Linked DNA regions of Anolis sagrei. The protein of the gene in region 2 interacts with the protein of the main gene of each other region in a pairwise test. Links are inferred from orthologs where the notes say so. Each region holds a gene or a part of one and is shown on either strand. Other genes may lie near its edges.

The links. The genes of interacting proteins can lie anywhere in the genome.
Region 1: the proteins of UBXN11 (region 2) and ENKD1 interact in binary tests that used the Homo sapiens proteins (3 or more experiments, as listed by UniProt). The two-hybrid records come from large-scale screens. The link is inferred for Anolis sagrei from reciprocal best matches to the Homo sapiens genes UBXN11 and ENKD1.

Annotation. Positions count from the first base shown.
Region 1 is NC_090028.1:44,004,202-44,013,876, forward strand, and holds the start of ENKD1 (enkurin domain-containing protein 1), read right to left. Parts: upstream 3,730-9,675; 5' UTR 3,654-3,729; intron 1-3,653. UniProt on the Homo sapiens protein: Microtubule-binding protein which regulates microtubule organization and stability. Promotes the stability of astral microtubules and facilitates the proper orientation of the mitotic spindle.
Region 2 is NC_090034.1:73,866,346-73,876,200, reverse strand, and holds the start of UBXN11 (UBX domain-containing protein 11), read right to left. Parts: upstream 4,300-9,855; 5' UTR 4,242-4,299; exon of another isoform or gene 4,238-4,241; intron 2,213-4,237; 5' UTR 2,186-2,212; coding exon 2,121-2,185; intron 784-2,120; coding exon 746-783; intron 1-745. UniProt on the Homo sapiens protein: May be involved in the reorganization of actin cytoskeleton mediated by RND1, RND2 and RND3. Promotes RHOA activation mediated by GNA12 and GNA13.

The sequences.
Region 1 (9,675 bases), on a different chromosome or scaffold from region 2:
GACCGCAGATTCCACCTCCTGCTCGGCCTCAACAGAAAAGAGTGGGCACACTGTCCCTGGTTCTTGGAGAAGGGTGGTTTGTAGTGAGAGCTAAGCCAATGCTACCTTGGCAGCCACCTCTCCACAAATGTCAACATTGACACCGAAATACAATACCGCCTGAGCTCTGCAAGTGCAGCATTTTTCCAAATGAAGCAGAGTGTTTGAGGACCGGGACATCCGTAGGGAGACCAAGGGGCTTGTTTATAAAGCTATTGTCCTCCCAACCCTGTTGTATGCCTGTGAAACGTGGACTGTCTACAGATGTCACATGCAACTCCTGGAACGATTCTATAAGCATTGCCATTGAAAAATCCTGCAAATCTCTTGGGAAGGCAAGCGGACAAACGTCAGCATGCTGGAAGAAGCAAAGACCAGCAGCATTGAAGCGATGGTCCTCCACCATCAACTCCGGGAAGACAAGTGGACAAATGTCAGACGCTGGAAGAAGCAAAGACCAGCAGCATTGAAGCGATGCCCCTCCACCATCAACTCCGCTGGACCGGCCACGTTGTCCGGATGCCCGACTACCGTCTCCCAAAGCAGTTGCTCTACTCCGAACGGAAAACGGAATGTTGGTGGGCAGGAAAAGAGATTGAAAGATGGGCTCAACTTTGGCATTGACACCGAGAACTGGGAGCCTTGAAATTGAATCCAGACAAGACAGAGGTCCTACTGGTCAGTCGTAAGGCCAACCAGGGCATAGGGTTACAGCCTGTGTTAGACGGGGTTCCACTCCCCCTGAAGACGCAGGTTCGCAGCTTGGGAGTGATCCTGGACTCATCGCTGAGCCTGGAACCCCAGGTCTCGGCGGTGGCCGGGAGAGCTTTCGCACAATTAAAACTTGTGCGCCAGCTGCGACCGTACCTTGGGAAGTCGGACTTGGCCACGGTGGTCCACGCTGTTGTTACATCCCGACTGGATTACTGCAACGCACTCTACGTGGGGCTGCCTTTGAAGACTGCTCGGAAACTCCAACTGGTCCAGCGGGAGGCAGCCAGATTGCTCACCGGAGCGACATACAGGGAGCACACCACCCCCCGGTTGTGTCAGCTCCACTGGCTGCCGATCCAATTCCGAGCACAATTCAAAGTGCTGGTTTTGACCTATAAAACCCTATACGGTTCCGGCCCAGTGTATCTGTCCGAACGGATCTCCCTCTACGTCCCACCTCGGAACCTAAGATCTTCTGGGGAGGCCCTGCTCTCGACCCCGCCTTTATCACAAGTGAGGTTGGCCGGGACGAGGAGCAGGGCCTTCTCGGTGGTGGCCCCCCACCTGTGGAACTCCCCCCCCCCCCCCGGGGAAATTAGATCGGCAATGTCCCTTCTTTCATTTAGGAAAAAATTGAAAACCTGGATATGGGACCAGGCATTTGGACACCCGGGCAGCTAAAGAAAAACCTAATGACGAGCTGGAACTTGTCGAGATGGAATGGACTTATGAAACTTCGAACGCTGAACTCAGGATTAACCTACTGCTGTGTTATTGTATTAATGTGTATTGATGATTTTAATTTTTAATTTGTAATTGTTTAATTTGTTTATATATGTATGTATATGTGATAAAGGCATCGAATTGTGCCTTCCTCTGTAAGCCGCCCTGAGTCCCCCCCCCCCCCCCCGGGGGTGAGAAGGGCGGGGTAAAAGTGACGGAAATAATAATAATAATAATTAAGGGCTCCAGCTGGAGGTCAGCTGTGACCAGCAGTGCTGCAGAATTCAAAGAGGCACAAATGGAGGGTGAAAGAGAGAAACATGCCAAGAGGAAGGAGGCACATTAAGCCAACCCTGACTGGGACCTTCTTCCATGTGGAATCCAATGCCCTCACTGTGGGAGAAGATGCAGGTCAAGAATAGGGCTCCACAGTCACCTACGAACCCACAGCCAGGACACTATACTTGGAGGACCATCCTCCTCGGACTATGAGGGATCACCTAAGTAAGCAAGCCAACATTGTTTGCTGTAACCAGTAACCAGTACAGTAAACCAGTACAGTACAAGATTCTGTAATTGTGGAAGGCTTTCATGGCTGCCAGAAAGGACAGAGAGTTTCATCTATGCTGATGATCGTGCCATTACTGCTCAAGCAGGGAGCTTTGAGATGGTAGAACAGAAGCTCTCCGAAGCTCTAGGTGCCCTTACTGCCTATGACAGGGAAAACCAGATGATCCCCAACCCATCTAAAACACAGACAAGCATCCTGAGCTCTGAAGATCACCTGGGAAGGAACCCCTGGAGCATTGCAGCACACCCAAATCCCTGGGAGGAGTCACTCTGGACTGTGCTCTGACCTACAAGAAGCACTTCCTGAACATCAAGCAAAAAGTGGGCGCTAGAAACAACGTCATACGAAAGCTGACTGGAACAGCCTGGGGATCACAACCAGACACAGTGAAGACATCTGCCCTTGCACTATGCTACTCTGCTGCTGAGTACGCATGCCCAGTGTGGAACACATCTCACCACGCTAAAACAGTGGATGTGGCTCTGAATGAGACATGCCGCATTATCACGGGGTGCCTGCGCCCTACACCCCTGGAGAAATTACACTGCTTAGCCGGTATTGCACCACCTGACATCCGCCGGGAAGTAGCAGCCAATAGTGAAAGGACCAAGGCAGAGACATCTCCAGCTCATCCCCTGTTTGGGTATCAGCCAGCACATCAACCACTTAAATCTAGAAATAGTTTTCTAAGATCTGCAGAGACACTTGCTGGAACACCTCAGCAAGCGAGAGTCCAAAAGTGGCAGCACCTCAATCAGTGGCTGATACCAAATGAGAGACTCCCCCCTGGGCACACAGAAGAAGACTGGGCGACTTGGAAGGTGCTGAACACACTGCGCGAGATGCAGAGCCAACCTCAAGAAATGGGGCTACAAAGTGGAATCCACGACACGCGAGTGGGGAGAAGAGCAAACCACTGACCACCTGCTGCAATGCAACCTGAGCCCTGCCACATGATGCACAAGGGAGGACCTCCTTGCGGCAACACCAGAAGCACTCCAAGGGGACAGAGACTGGTCAAAGGACATTTAATCAACTACCAAGCTTGCAAACTTTGTGTTTTGTTTGTTTGTTTGCTTTGTTCTGTTAGAAATGTAATATAATTGACTGGTTGATCTGACACGACAAATAAATAAATAAATAAATAAATAAATGGCTGGAATCACTGGGTTGTGGTAGGTTTTTGGGGCTATAGGGCCATGTTCTAGCAGCATTCTCTCCTGACGTTTCGCCTGCATCTATGGCAAGCATCCGGAGGATGCTTGCCATAGATGTAGGCGAAACGTCAGGAGAGAATGCTGCTAGAACATGGCCCCAAAACCTCCCACAAGCCAAGATTCTGCAAGTTTGTAACAATGATAATTATATGAATACTTCCTCTCGTGAAGACAGAAGCCCCTTCCACGCAGGTGAATCCAATCCCACGTTATCTGCCTTGAACCGGATTATGTGGCAATGTGGACTCAGGGAACCCGGTTCTAAGCAGATATTCCGGGTTATGTGGCTGTGTGGAAGGGCCCAGCGGGAAGCAGAGAAGAGGGGCGCGTCCCCTGGGGAAGCCTCGGGTGGGAAGGCCCGCCTCAAGCCCACGCCGGGCTCCGCTCACCTCTCGGGACGAGAACAGGCCGCGGTTGGGATCTCCCCGCCTCCTCCTCCTCCTCCCGTCGCTAAGCAACCGTCGCTTCCTCTCCATAGGCGGAAGGTAAACAAAGCCCTTCTAGGAAGTCTAGCACCGCCCCTTCTCGCCTGAGGGCCGGCGCCGCAGCGCCCCTTGTGGCCGGGGGAGGGAAGGGCAGGGAGGGAAGCAAGAGGCACTGGCTCAGGATTTCCCTTTTTTTTTTAAAAAAAAAAATGTTTTTATTAGGAGGATTAAAATATATATATAACCTCGAAAGTGGGGGAACATATTTGGTTTGGATAGGAAAGTAGGAATATCAAGGTCCAAGTATATAAAAAAGGCAAAAAGAGAGGAAAAAAGTGTATATATAGTTAGGTTCTTGTGGGGTTTTTTCGGGCTATATGGCCCTGTTCTAGAGGCATTTTCTCCTGACGTTTCGCCTGCATCTGTGGCAAGCATCCTCAGAGGTATTTATTTATTTGGGGTTCTTTTACCCCGCCCTTCTCACCCCGAAGGGGACTCAGAGCGGCCTTACAAAAGCAAAGGCACCCTTCGATGCCTGCATCATGAAACAATTATACATAAACTTACATCATATCATAATATAATTCACAAAGTGCATGCATTAATTATCATAAAATCAATAAAATCAATAAAAACAAATACAAACCCAATTTCTCCTTTTACATGGTCAGCGTTTCGCTCATTGATCTAATTTTACATTCCATTTCATCAATCCTGCTGGTCTTACTCGCCTGATTGTCTGATTTAATTGCCAAGGTGCCCAAAGGCCTGGTCCCACAACCACGTCTTCACCCTCCTCCTGAAGGCGAGGAGGGATGGTGCTGCCCTGATTTCCCCCGGGAGTGAGTTCCACAGGTGAGGAGCCACCACTGAGAAAGCCCTGCTCCTCGTCCCCACCAGCCTCACTTGTGAGAGTGGTGGGGTCGAGAGCAGGGCCTCCCCAGATGATCTCAGAGTCCGGGGTGGGACGTAAAGGGAGATACGTTTGGACAGATACACTGGACCGGAACCGTACAGGGTTTTGTAGGTCAAAACCAGCACCTTGAATTGTGCTCGGAACTGAATCGGCAGTGTAGTGAGGTCTGTTGGAAGTAGGAAAATGGGTTTATATATCTGTGGAATGACCAGGGTGGGGCAAAGGACTCTTGTCTGCTGGAGCTAGGTGTGAATGTTTCAACTGATCACCTTCATTAGCATTTGAAGGCCTGCCTGAGCCTGGGAAAATCTGTTGCTGGGAGGTGTTAAGCTGTGCCTGGTTGTTTCCTCTCTGTTGTTTTGCTGTTGTAATTTTAGAGTTTTTTAATACTGGTAGCCAGATTTTGTTCATTTTCATGGTCTCTTCCTTTCTGTTGAAATTGTCCACCTGCTTCTTGTGGATTTCAATGGCTTCTCTGTGTAGTCTGACATGGTGGTTGTGAGAGTGGTCCAGCATTTCCGTGTTCTCAAATAATCTGCTGTGTTCAGGTTGGTTCCTCAGGTGCTCTGCTATGGCTGACTTCTCTGGTTGAGTTACTCTGCAGTGTCTTTCGTGTTCCTTGATCCGTGTCTGGGCAATGGCGCTGCGTGTGGTGGTCCCTCTGTAGACTTCTTGTCCACAGCTGCATGGTATACAATGGTAGACTCCTGCAGAGGTGAGAGGATCCCTCTTGTCCTTTGCTGAATGGAGCATTGGTTGGATTTTATGTATATATAGTGTTCTGTCGCCGCTGGAGCCGAAATGAATCATAGAATCCTAGAATCAAAGAGTTGGAAGAGAACTGGTGGGCCATCCAGTCCAGCCCCAATCTGTGAAGAAGCAGGAATATTGCATTCAAATCACCCCTGACAGATGGCCATCCAGCCTCTGTTTCAAAGCTTCCCAAGAAGGAGCCTCCACCACACTCCCTCCTGGGCAGAGAGTTCCACTGCTGAACAACTCTCATGTTCAGGTGGAATCTCCTTTCTTGTAGTTTGAAGGTGCTTTTAAGAGAGGATGTTAGGCTTGCATCCAGCAGGAAGCCAGGGCCCCAAAAAGAAGCCTTTAGGAAAATTTCCCTTATTAAGCAGTCTTTATGAGGCTTGAGCTTAAATATAACAGTTCTTTATTAAGGAACAAACAGGCTTAACAGTCTATTACAGTGTTTCTCCACCTTCCAAATGCCACGACCCCTTAATACAGTTCCTCATGTTGTGGTGACCCCCAACCTTAATATTATTTTCATTGTTACTTCAAAACTGTAATTTTGCTACTGTATTTACATTTACTGGACCAAATGTGGCACAAATACCTGGTGAGTTTGCGGGGGGGGGGGGGGGGGGATGTATTGATGTTGCCATTTGGGAGTTGTAGTTGCTGGGATTTATAGTTCGCCTACAATCAAAGAGCATTCTGAACTCCACCAATGATGGAATTGAACTAAACTTGGCACTCAGAACTCCCATGACCAACAGAAAATACGAGAAGGTTTTGGTGGGCATTGACCTTGAGTTTTGGAGTTGTAGTTCACCTAAATCCAGAGAGCACTGTGGACTCAAACAATGATGGATCTGGACCAAACTTGGCACAGATCCTCAATATTTCCAAATGTGAACACTGGTGGAGTTTAGGAGAAATAGAGCTTGACATTTGGGAGTTGTAGTTGCTGGGATTTATAGTTCACCTACAATCAAAGAGGATTCTGAACCACACCAATGATAGAATTGGGCCAAACATTCTACACAGAACTCCCATGACCAACAGAAAATACTGTGTTTTCTGATGGTCTTTGGTGACCCCTCTGACACCCCTTCGTGACCACTCCAGGGGTCCCAACCCCCAGGTTGAGAATCGCTGGTCTATTAGCTCTTGCAATCTTGTTTACAGGAAACAGGCACTATCTTCATAAACTTTGCTCAAAGGAAAATTCCCCCTTTTAGCGCCTCCCAGGCTGCTGTGAACCTAAACCTGACTGATTTGAGTCTACTACCGGCTGAACTGCGTCTCAGAACCGAGCAGACGTACCAGCAGGCCTGTAGTCACTTAGCTGGAGATGAGCAGAGCTGTTATTCCCTCCGGAAGTCCTCAGGGCTGTAAAGCTGTTTCCCTGGAACCCTTTGGGAATCTGTAGAGGCTCTCAAGACTGTTCTCCCCCGGGAAGTCTTAAGAGACGAAGCCTTTGCACAGGAGGACGTTTGTGTACATCCTCTGCATAGACTTCCTTTGCTGAGACTGGCTGAAAAATAGCCCCTTCCCTCCAAAAAACTCAAAGAAGGGCGGGACCAGGGAACCTAACTGTTATTGACAGGTGGCTTGTCCTATGAATGCAAATTATAACAGGAAGCCACCCTGCTGCAAAATCCCAAGCCTGGGATTGCAAACCAACATTTAACCCAAAGAAATAAAATTGGAGCTCCTGGAACAGCTGTTCCAGAACATATAGGAAATAGAATATATATATATATATATATATAAGAAGAGAAAAAGGGGAAAATGTTTTGTTTTTTTTAAAAAAGGAAAAAATATAATATTGTTGACTTCCATCTAGACTTTGGTGGTCTTCAAAGTCTCTTTTTCTGGGCTTTCTAAGCATTTGCTGATGGTGAAAGAGGTCATGGCACGCCTGGGCCAACTTGGGCCCTCCTTCCCTCCCTCCAGGTATTTCGGACTCCAACTCCCACCATTCCTCACAGCCTCGGGCCCCTTCCTATTCCCCCTCAGCCACTTAATGGAGGGTAAACAGGCCTTACATATGTAGATGATCCCACTTTGATGGCCGAAAGCGAGGAGGAGCCGAGGAGCCTTCTAATCAAGGTGAAAGAAGAAAGCGCAAAAACTGGGTTGCAGTTAAACATTAAAAAAAACCAAGATTATGGCAACAAGAATGATTGACAACTGGGAAATAGAGGGAGAAAAGGTAGAGGCCGTGACAGGGTTTGCATTTCTAGACGCAAAGATTACTGCAGACACAGACTGTGGCCAGGAAATCAGGAGACACTTCCTTCTTGGGAGGAGAGCAATGGTCAAGCTTAATAAGAGAGTAAGGAGTAGAGACATCACACTGGCAACAAAGATCCACATAGTCAAAGCAATGGTTTTCTTCAGAGTCACTTACGGATGTGAGAGTTGGACCTTAGGGAAGGCTGAGCGAAGGAAGAGAGATGCTTTTGAGCTGTGGTGTTGGAGGAAAGTCTTGAGAGTGCCTTGGACTGCGAGAAGATCCAACCAGTCCATCCTCCAGGAAAGAAAGCCCGGCTGCTCACTGGAAGGAAGGAGAGTAGAGGCCAAGAGGAAGTCCTTTGGCCACATCATGAGGAGACAGCAAAGCCTAGAGAAGGGAATGATGTTGGGGAAAAAGGAAGGAAAAAGGAAGAGGGGCCGACCAAGGGCAAGATGGATGGATGGGATCCTTGAAGGGACTGGCTTAACCTTGAAGGAGCTGGGGGTGGTGACGGCCGACAGGGTGCTCTGGCATGGGGTGGTCCAGGAGGTCACCAAGAGTCAGAAGCCACTGAACGAATAAACAACAACAAACCAGGCCTGGGCAAATCTGGGCCCGCCCTCCCTTCAGGTGTTTTGGACTCCAACTCCCACCATTCCCAACCGCCTCGGGCCCCTTCCTTTCCCCCCTCAGCCGCTTAAGCTGAGTACTGGGCCCATAACCAACGTTAGGCTCTGTTACACAGTAGCATTGCACGCAGCAGCCTTCACGTGGGAGCTTCTCTCATTCCAGGGCTTTGTCATTCTGTGAGGCCTCCTTCGCAGGGAAGCCTCCTCGCACTGACTGAGGCACTCTCTCACTGGGGCAAACAAACACTAACAGGCTTTGGCATACTCACTGTGCTATCTTGTTCATAACTTGGAGACTGCCTGTAATGCAGTTATACGAGTCTATTATGAAATATATCATACTGTTATTGAACACGATACCCCCTCCTCCTCCTCCTCCTCCTCCTCCTCCTCCTCAATTACAAATGATTGCAGAGAATATCAGGAACAGACCAAGAGCAGCATCAAAGCCCACAAAGACTTAATTGCTTCAACCCTAAAATAAAATCTATACTTGTTCTAACCTTCTGCCAGACCTGTATACGTAGAGTATAGGTATGTGCATACATAGAGAATCCTCCAAAGCACTTTACATTTTTAGGTCTGCTTGTCTGTTTTTCACAAATGCCACTATCGCCTTTTTGCCCATGCTGCAGCATTACTTTCAATTTTAATTTTACATTTGGCCTACCCATAGTTTTTAAAGTGTGTTGTCCTATTGATAATGCTTATGTTATTGTTTTATTGTTTTTAAATTGCTTGTATTGTTGTTGTTGTTGTTGCGTGTATTGCTGTATTTTGGGCTCGGCCTCATGTATGCCGCACCGAGTCCCCTGGGAAGATGGTGATAATGCTTATGTTATTGTTTTATTGTTTTGTTGTTTTTAAATTGCTTGTATTGTTGTTGTTATTGCGTGTATTGCTGTATTTTGGGCTCGGCCTCATGTAAGCCGCACCGAGTCCCCTGGGGAGATGGTAGCGGGGTACAAATAAAGTGTTGTTATTATTATTATTAATCCCGTTCTCCATATAAAATGCAACAAGACGTAGCCCAGAAGACCACCACCCTTTTGTAACCTTGCTGGGGCTTTTCCTGGGCAAGAGAGGGTGGGCAAATCTCTCTGGCTGTTCCCGGCTAGGGTAATCATCACAACCCATTCTGGAGATAGATAGATAGATAGATAGATAGATAGATAGATAGATATGTAATATATATATGCAGAGAGAGGCAGCTCCCCACGTCAGGCCAGATAAGACAGTAAATATTGGTTTAACTTAATGGCCCTCGTGGGCTGAGAGATTGCTGACCATGGAAACAGAGGCTCAGCGTGCGTACATTTGCTTAACCTTTTTATTTGGAGCCCAACTCCAATTGTCAAGATCACCCTCACCTTTTAGGTCTTTGGAGCCTCAAGCACTTGTTATGCTGAGTCAGTCAATCAAAGACTCATTATCATCTCTTTGACATTAAGTTCTTGTGGG
Region 2 (9,855 bases):
AAGTCTACATTGCAGAAACTTGATTATATGGCAGTGTAGATGGAGTCTCAGTAAATGCATATACGATTGCCTAAACCTCAGGGCCTTCCTGGACTGTGAACCACAGCTCAGTTCCATGCTATCGATGCCTGGTCAAGAAACTGTTTATAATTTCTTATCTGTGAACACTTGGCACATATACCTGTCATGACAAAATAGTGGTGGTGGTTGAATGGTTTGACTCAGGATGGTGGGAGTTGTACTCCACTCACATCCAAAGACCCATATGCACCTTTAATCAAGAGAGCGGCTACTTTCTGGGCTGTCTGGCCATGTTCCAGAAGCGATCTCTCCTGACATTTCGTCCACATCATGGCACGCATCCTCAGAGGTTGTGGAGTCTGTTGGAAACTGGGCAAGTGGGGGTTATATATCTGTGGAATGTTCAGAGTGGAATAAAAAACTCCCATCTGTTTGAAGCAAGTGTGAATGCTGCAACTGGCCAACCTCTGTGGATGCCTGCCATAGATACAGGCAAACTGTCAAGAGATAATGCTTCTGGAACATAGCCATACAGCCCGGAAAACTGACAGCAACCCAGCGATTCCGGCCATGAAAGCCTTCGACAACACCTTGACTGTTTATTTATTAATATTTATTGTTACAAAAGTCCAAAACTGGGCATCGCTGGGGATCTAAACTAGTAAAATGTAATTAACCAATATACACAAACCACCAAAATGATGATAAAGGGCTTGTTTCCTACCTTTCTGGATATTTTCTTTGAGGTGTACAATCTTCTTCCTAAAATCCAGAAGAAAACAGGATATATTTATAGTTAATTTTTTATTTGTTTAGGTTATTTATTTAATATCTTACCAGTCTGGAACCCAAATATTATTAGTTATTCTACTTATTCTAAAATGAATCCATTTTGATACTCCAGCCTACATTTCCTGACAACCTGGTGTATTTGAAACATAGCAGTCTTTACTTTTAGAGAAAAGAGGAAGCTACATCTCAGACACACAATAAACACGTTCTTTAGTTAGTTGATGATGTGAGTATAGTAAAAGTAAAGGTTCCCCCTGACATTAAGTCTGGTTGAGTCCAATTCTGGGGAGTGGTGCTCATCTCCACTTCAAACTGCAAAGTAAGTGAAATCTGTTGTTGTTCATTTGTTCAGTCGCTTCCGACTCTTCGTGACCTCATGAACCAGCCCACACCAGAGTTCCCTGTTGGTCGTCACCACCCCCAGCTTCTTCAAGGTCAAGCCAGTCACTTCAAGGATGCCATCCATCCATCTTGCCCTTGGTCGGCCCCTCTTCCCTTTTCCTTCCTTTTTCCGCAGCATAATTGTATTCTCTAAGCCAGGGGTCCTCAAACTTTTTAAACAGAGGGCCAGGTCATAGTCCCTCAAACTGTTGGGAGGGCCGGATTATAATTTGAAAAAAAAAGCATGAATGAATTCCTATGCATACTGCACATATCTTATTTGTAGTGCAAAAAAATTAAAAACAATGAAATACTTAAAATGAAGAACAATCTGAACAAATATAAATGTATTAGTATTTCAATGGGAAATGTGGGCCTGCTTTTGGCTGATGAGATAGGGTTGGTGTTGTTGTTGTTGTGTGCTTTTGAGTCATTATAGACTTAAGCTGACCCTGAGTGAGGGCCGGGTAAATGACCTTGGAGGGCCGCATCTGGCCCCCGGGCCTTAGTTTGAGGACCCCTGCTCTAAGCTATGTGAAAACTAACTGCCCCCTAACTGAGTGCAGAGGCTAGAAAGTTTACATTTTTAGATATGATAATAATAATAATGATTATCTTTATACTCTGCCCTTTCCCCAGAAGTGGATGACAAACAACACAATCCCCTGTCAACATGGCACAGATTACTCTGTGGAACTAGTTTTTTAGGCTGTAGGATAATGAGAGCTACAGTGCAATGAGGCATGTTTTCAAAGCTCTGTCTAGTTTCAACTGAGATGCGATTTGTATTATGCAGTAGAGTCAAACCTGGAATGTGCACAGAAGCCATCTTGATCAATGAAGGCAGGATCCTCCATAAACCATTATAACCTGGGAGCTATGGGTATTAGTGGCCCATAGAAGTGTGCAAACAAGCTCCAACTTACCCAGTTTTCTGCACCTGAAGTGGCATTCTACGAACCTTCCCCAGAGAAGAGAGAGGCGAAGTCATGGTTTATCTTGAACACAGTTTCATATACTAGGGATGCAGGAAGAGAAAATGTACTGAAATTTGCAATCAATATGTGAAACTTGGAACTGAACACAATGGGGGCAATGCTAACTTTTGATGGAATAAAACTCTTATAATACATCTGATCTTATAATACATCTGATGGGGTCAGAAATGAACTTGGCATCCCTTTCTGTCTGGCATTTATGGCACTAAATGTATGAAGAGAAATGTATGGGGTCCATTTCCCCAGATGTGCGTATTATCCCCAGTTGACATACACTTTCAGAGAGAGAGAGAGAAGGAAGGAGGAAAGAGGGAAGGAAAAAAGGACAAAAGGCTAGAAGGGAAGGAAGGAGGAAGGGAGAAAGAGGGAGATAATGCACTGAGCTGCATTATATATATACATCTATATCAGGCCTGGGACAAACTGGGGACAGTTCCATTTTGTCTCCTGCATATGCCATCAGTTGGGGACCCCTCCTCCCCCCATCAACAACTGCCGCTCTGGGCCAGAGTGAAGAGAGAGGGGGCCAGGGGACAGTTCCATCTTGTCTCCTGCATATGTCATCAGTTCGGGACCCCCCCCCCCCCCAGCACCAACTGCCGCTCTGGGCCTGCACATGTCATCAGTTGGGGACCCCTCCCCCCAACACCAACTGCCACTCTGGGCCAGAGTAAAGAGAGAGGGGGCCAGGGGACAGTCCCATCTTGTCTCCTGCATATGTCATCAGTTGGGGACCCCTCTCCCCAACACCAACTGCCACTCTGGGCCAGAGTGAAGAGAGGGGGGGGGGCAGGTGATAGTACCATCTTGTCTCCTGCATATGTCATCAGTTGGGGACCCCTCCCCCAACACCAACTGCCAGTCTGGGCCAGAGTGAAGAGAGAGGGGGCCAGGGGACAGTCCCATTTTGTCTCCTGCATATGTCATCAGTTGGGGACCCCTCCCCCCAACACCAACTGCTGCTCTGGGCCAGAGTGAAGAGAGAGGGGGCCAGGGGATAGTCCCATCTTGTCTCCTGTGCTATGCTAATAATATAATATAATGTAATATAATATAATATATTATATTATATATACATATAATATTTATTATATTAATATAATATAATAATGATATGATATTATTATTATTATATATTTATATTACATGTAATATTACTAATAATATTACAATACAATGGTATAGTACTATATAGTAATATTTAATACTGATATTGTACTATGCTAATAATATAATATATTGTATGTATATATATCTTGTGAGCCGCTCTGACTTCCCTTAGGGGTGAGAAGGGCGGCATATAAATGTCGTAAATAAAACAAACAGACAAAAAATATAATGCAGCTTAATGCACTGAACTGCACTATACACACACGCACACACACACACACAGGAGACGTAATGGGGCGGCTCAACCCATTACGCAAAGTAAGCATTTGCAGTATAGTTGATTTTGCCCAGGGGCGCTCTTGAGGTGCTCTTGGGGGAAAATAGACCTTTACATATGCGAGTTGTAGTTACTGGGAAGTATAGTTCACCTACAATCAAAGAGCATTCTGAACTCCACCAATGATAGAATTGAACCAAATATGGCACACAGAACTCCTATGATGAACAGAATATATATATCAGTGATTGGTTGGGGGGGGGCAAAATGCTGTTTGCTTACCAATGAAAATTTCCTAGGGCCGCCTCTGTATGTATGTATGTGTACACATACACACACACACATCTATACCAGGCCTGGGCCAACTTGGGCCCTCCAAGATGTCTTGGACTTCAACTCCCACAATTCCTAACAGCCAGTGAGTTGAAGTCCAAAACACCTGGAAGAATGGCCCACGTTGGCCTAGGCCTGTGGGGAACTCCTTTAGCATTCTCTGCCTAAGACTACTGCAGCTGCACTACCAAGCTACAATCCCTAGGATTTCCTACCAGTGAGCCACCTAAACTGCAATACTTCTGCAGTGTAGATGCACCTTAAGAGAGAGAGAGAGAGAGAGCGCAAACTCATTGGAGGCAGAGGCTTTTGTCAAAAGACTCACCCACCCTTCCTAAAGGAGGCTTCAGGCTGCTGCCGGCATCTTGTTTGCCCTCAGTTGCTAGGCAACCGAAGCCGGGCCTGCTCAGTGCTCAGGCCTTTCTAACTGGCTTTGTTTTTTTGAGGGGCATGTTTACTAACAACATTATTTAAGCTGCTTTTTATGATGTCAGAAGCATCACAGCCTGTCAAAAGGAGTTTCAGTATACATCAGGAGGAATGCAGTTCACTGCCAAGGCTCATTGCATAACAGGAACTGTGCGTTTGTGCAGCCCTCTCTGTACAACAATGGTTCTGCTTCACCAAACAGGCACTGCTTGACTATCATTGCAGCACACCCAAATATCTGGGAATTACCCTGGACCGTGCTCTGACCTACAAGAAGCACTGCTTGAATATCAAGCCAAAAGGGAGTTCTAGAAACAATCTATATATATAAAGATGTTCTGTGCATAATGAATAGCTTAAAAACAAAAGAACCAACGAACGAAATCACACCAAATTTGGCAGCAAAACGTCTCACAACACAAGGAGTGACCATCACTCAAAAAATTATGATTTTGCCATTTGGGAGTTGTAGTTGCTGGGATTTATAATTCACCTACAATCGAAAAGCATTCTGAACTCCATCAATGATGGAATTGAACCAAACTTGGCACACAGAACTCCCATGACCAGCAGAAAATACTGGAAGGGTTTGGTGGGCATTGACGTTGAGTTTGGGAGTTGTAGTTCACTAACATCCAGAGAGCACTGTGGACTCAAACAATGATGGATCTGGACCAAACTTGCCACAAGCACTCAATACGCCCAAACATGAACACAGATGGAGTTTGGGGGGAATAGACCTTGACATTTGGGAGCTGTAGTCACTGGGATTTACAGTTCACCAACAAAGAGCATTCTGAACCCCACGAACGACAGAATCAGGGTAAACTTCCCACATAGAACCCCCATGACCAACAGAAAATACTTAAGGCCATCCAATCCAACTCCCTTCACCAGGGAGCCCCCGGTGGCGCAGTGGGTTAAACCCCTGTGCTGGCAGGACTGAAGATCGACAGGTTGCAGGTTCGTATCCAGGGAGGGGCGGATGAGCTCCCTCTATCAGCTCCAGCTCCTCATGCAGGGACATGAGAGAAGCCTCCCACAAGGATGATAAAACATCAAATCATCCAGGCGTCCCCTGGGCAATGTCCTTGCAGACGGCCAATTCTCTCATACCAGAAGCGACTTGCAATTTCTCAAGTCGCTCCTGACACAATAAAAAAAATAAAACAGGGCAAGAAAACATAATCAAAGTCCTCCTGACAAAGAGCCATCCAGCCATAGATATAGATAGATAGATATGATTCACACACAGATATAGTATAATAGATTTGAAAGGGACCCCTGAAGAAGGACAATGATATCTTGCATGTCCCAGAGTAGGCAAACCAGACACTCTCCACATCAACACTAACAAAGACAAAGCAAGAAATACTGTTTACCCATAAGCATAAAGAAATTACATATATTAGAAACTAACACTTTCTCATTACTTTATTCTCCAGATCAACAGACTGGGCCACAGCGTGGCAGGGGACGGCTAGTATTGTATGAAAGCTGACTGGCACAAGCTGGGAATCACAACCAGGCACATTGAAGACATTGGCCCTTGCGCTGAGTATGCATGCCCAGTATGGAACGCATCTTTCCACATTAAAACAGTGGATGTGGCTCTTAATGAGACATGCTGCACTATCACAGGATGTCTTGACCCTACACCGTTAGAGAAATTATACTATTTAGTTGGTATTGCACCACCTGGTAGCCGTCGGGAAGTAGCAGCCAGTAATGAAATGACATCTTCAGCCCAAGTTTGTCCATGCCTGGGCTAGACCCCTCTTTCATATAATATACTAGCCGCCCCCTGCCACGTGTTGCTGTGGCCCAGTCTGGTGATCTGGAAAATAAAGTAATGAGAAAGTGTTGGTTGGTAATGTTTCTAATTTCTTTATGCTTGTAGGTAAACAGCATTTCTTGTTGTTTCTTTTTGTTGTTGTTGTTATTTCATTATCATTTTTAATTTTTTATTGTGCCTTTAATTGAAGAAGATAAAACATTGAAAGTGTGAGAACAATTTTCAAATAGCAAAGTTAGAAAAAGAAAGAATAAAGAGTTGTTTCTTAGAGATTGTCTGGTTTGCCTGCTCTGGAACATGCAACATATAATTGTCCTTCTTTAGGGGTCCCTTTCAAATCTATGATACTATATCTGTCATATACATATGTGTGTGAATCATATATATCTATCTATATCTTTGGCTGGATGGCTCTTTATCAGGAAGGCTTTATGTTTTCTTGCCCTGGTGAAGGGAGTTTGACTGGATGGTCTTAACACAGCATTTCTCAACCTGGGCATGGGGGGGGGGGGTGTCAGAGGGATCACCAAAGATCACCATGTTGGTCATGAGGGTTCTGTGTGGCAAGTTTGGCCCAATTCTATCGTTGTTGGGGTTCGAAATGCTCTTTGATAGTAGGTGAACTATAAATCCCAGTAACCCAAATGTAAAGGTCTATTTCCCCCCAAACTCCATCTGTGTTTATATTTGGGCATACTGAATATTTGCGGCAAGTTTGGTCCAGATCCATCATTGTTTGATTCCACATCGATCTCTGGATGTAGGTGAACTACAACTCCAAAACTCAAGGTCAATGGACACCAAACCCTTCTAGTGTTTTCTGTTAGTCATGGGAGTCCCGTGCGCACGGGACTCCCATGACCAACAGAAAACACTAGAAGGGTTTGGTGTCCATTGACCTTGAGTTTTGGAGTTGGCTCAATTCCAATTCCACCAAAATCATATTTTTTTGGTGTGATGTTCAAAATCCAAAAATCGTGGATCAATCCTCCCCAAACCCTACCAGTATTCACAGTTGGCTATGTTGGGTCTGTCCGCCAAGTTTGGTCCAGATTCGTTGTTGGCTGGGTTCAGTGCTATCTGGATGTGGGTGAACTATAACTCCCAGAGATCAAGGTCAATCATTCCCAAACTCTGCCTTTATTCACAGTCCATAATTGGTGGTGGTGGTGGCGGTGGTAGTGGGAGGTCACAGTTCCTCTAGATGCGAGTAAACTACAACTCTCTAAAATCAAGGTAATTTTTCCCCAATCCCCTCCAGTATGTTCAGTTGGTTATAGGGGGTCTAAAGAAACAAATCATTATGATGATGTTTATTTATATCATGCTTTTTCTCTCCACAAGGAGACTCAAAGTGGCTAATATTAAAAACATTACAATATAATTTCAAATATACAAATATTAAAACAGTATTAAACATCATTAGTATTAAAAACTATTTAGTCAAATCCATTAAAAAACCACAGCCGCCCCTGACAAGACTTTTAGAAACACATGCATACATCAATTGTGATAACAACATGTCTGGAGTCACAACATATTTCATGAAAATGTTTCATTTATATATTTAAAATATATGATTTATTGTTTATTTCACATGGATCCAGACGTTTCTCATTACGTTTGAGAGACACACCTACACACTGCAGCCAACATAGTTTGGACAGCTCTGTACTAGATTATGGATACTAATACTTGTACCAATAGCATTTCTAATATTTCAAAGCAGAGAATGGAGGGTATCACTTATAATGTTGAAGCCCAGATGTTTCTGTATGTAGGAATGTGTCATTCAAAAGCATGAAGTTTTTCTTCCTGTCAACTAGTATGTGTGTTCTGTCGCCACTGGGCTTGAAACGAAGTGCTTTTAAAACAGGATGTGCAACTTTAGCCCAACGGGAAGCCAAGGGGCCCGAAGAGAAGCCCTTAGAGAATTTGCCCCCATTAAACAGTCTTTAGAAGGCTTGAGCTTAAATACAACAAAGTCTTTTATTGATGAACAATTAAACAGAAACTTCTTTTGTCTTCAAAGATTAAACAAATGCTTCCAGACTTCAAACAACTGGTGGCTTCTAACTGTTTCTTTGCTTTACTTTCAAGGAAAAATCCCTTTCTAGCTCCTCCCAGGCTAACTGTGAACCTAAGCCTGACTGATGTGAGTCCACTACCGGGCTGAACTGCGTCTCAAAACCGAGTGGACGTACCAGTAGGCCTGTAGTCACTTAGCTGGAGTTCTTGGTGTTTAAAGCTGTTATTCCCTCCGAAATTCCTCAGGGCTGTAAGGCTGTTTCCCTGGAACCTTTGGGAATCTTTAGATGCTCTTAAGACTGTTCTCCCCCGGGAAGTCGTAAGGGTTGAAGCCTTTGTACAGGAGAAAGTCTGTACACGTCCTGTACATTGACTTCCTAGCTGAGACTAACAGAAAAATGGCCCCCTTCCCTTCCCAATTGCCCTGAGCAAGGGGCGGGACCAAACTCAACGATGATGGACAGGTGGCTTGCCCTATAACTGCAACCAAAAGAAGCCACCTATCTGCAGAGTCTCTGAAACTTAGGACTACAAACAAACATTCGATGCAAAGCAAACAAAATTGGAGCTCCTGGTACAGCTGTGCCAGAGTCTTGGAAGCTGAGTGCCAGAGCTGAGCCTTGGAAGACCAGTGCTGGATCACACCAAAAGCCCGATGGCACTGAACTCTGTTCTTACCAAGAGCAATCGGAGACATCTGGAAAGCCCAAAGGCAGGGCACTGTATTTTCAGCAACGACTATTAAGTGTGTTTCCTGTTCTTTGGGTGGAAATACAAATGCGTTGATGTTGTTTAGGACTTTTACAAAGCTTGGAGTTCCCCCAAACCTGCCACTGCTGCTTTTGTTGTGCATGTGACACAACAGTGCTATGCATGACCAAAACATATAGCTTCGGGATCAGAAAAAGTGATAGGGAGCAATTGCTAGGTGAATATTTGCAAGTAAGTTGAAAATCTTGGTGAGATCACGTTCTAAAAAGTAATCCCTTCTCCCAAATCTGTGTGGTTTCGTGTAATGAAACTGACAGTTTACCAAAGGCATATGAGAAATTATAGAACGACTGTAGGATGCTGAGCAATAGTCCTAATATATCTTAACAATATTTTAACTAGTATTCACACAACATTTATTATCATGCAATTTTTAATATGGTGTAGTGGTCTGACCATTGGGTTTCTAAGCCTGGTCTCTAGAGTCAGGGGCCCAAACTACACTGCATTGAACGGCATTATAAGAGTCTCCACTGATCGTGGAGACTCTTAGTTTCTAAATCATAATTTTGTAATACTAATGATTTTCTATGAGGAGACAATACACAATTGGACAGTATCTTTCCTGGATCAAGTTTAGAGCAATCAAACAGTACAAAAGTTTTGTCTTCTACCAAAGTGCTCACTGGGCGAGTTGGGACAAAAATAAAGATAGTAAAAACTGATGAACAGTTATGGTAAACTCAAAAACTTGCACACTTTTGTTGCATTTTCACTGGTCCTGATTAAGATGCTGCCCAACTAGTGATCTTGGTGATCACCAGGTGTCAATTTGTTTCTGTTTCTTCTTTGGCTGGTTTGTGGCTCATACAATCCCCAGCCCACCTAGAACAAATCAAATTGTTTTACACACTGTGGTCCTAGGCTAACTACCTACTGACCATTCTATGATATAAAACACAAATTGGCAGGAGAAAAGA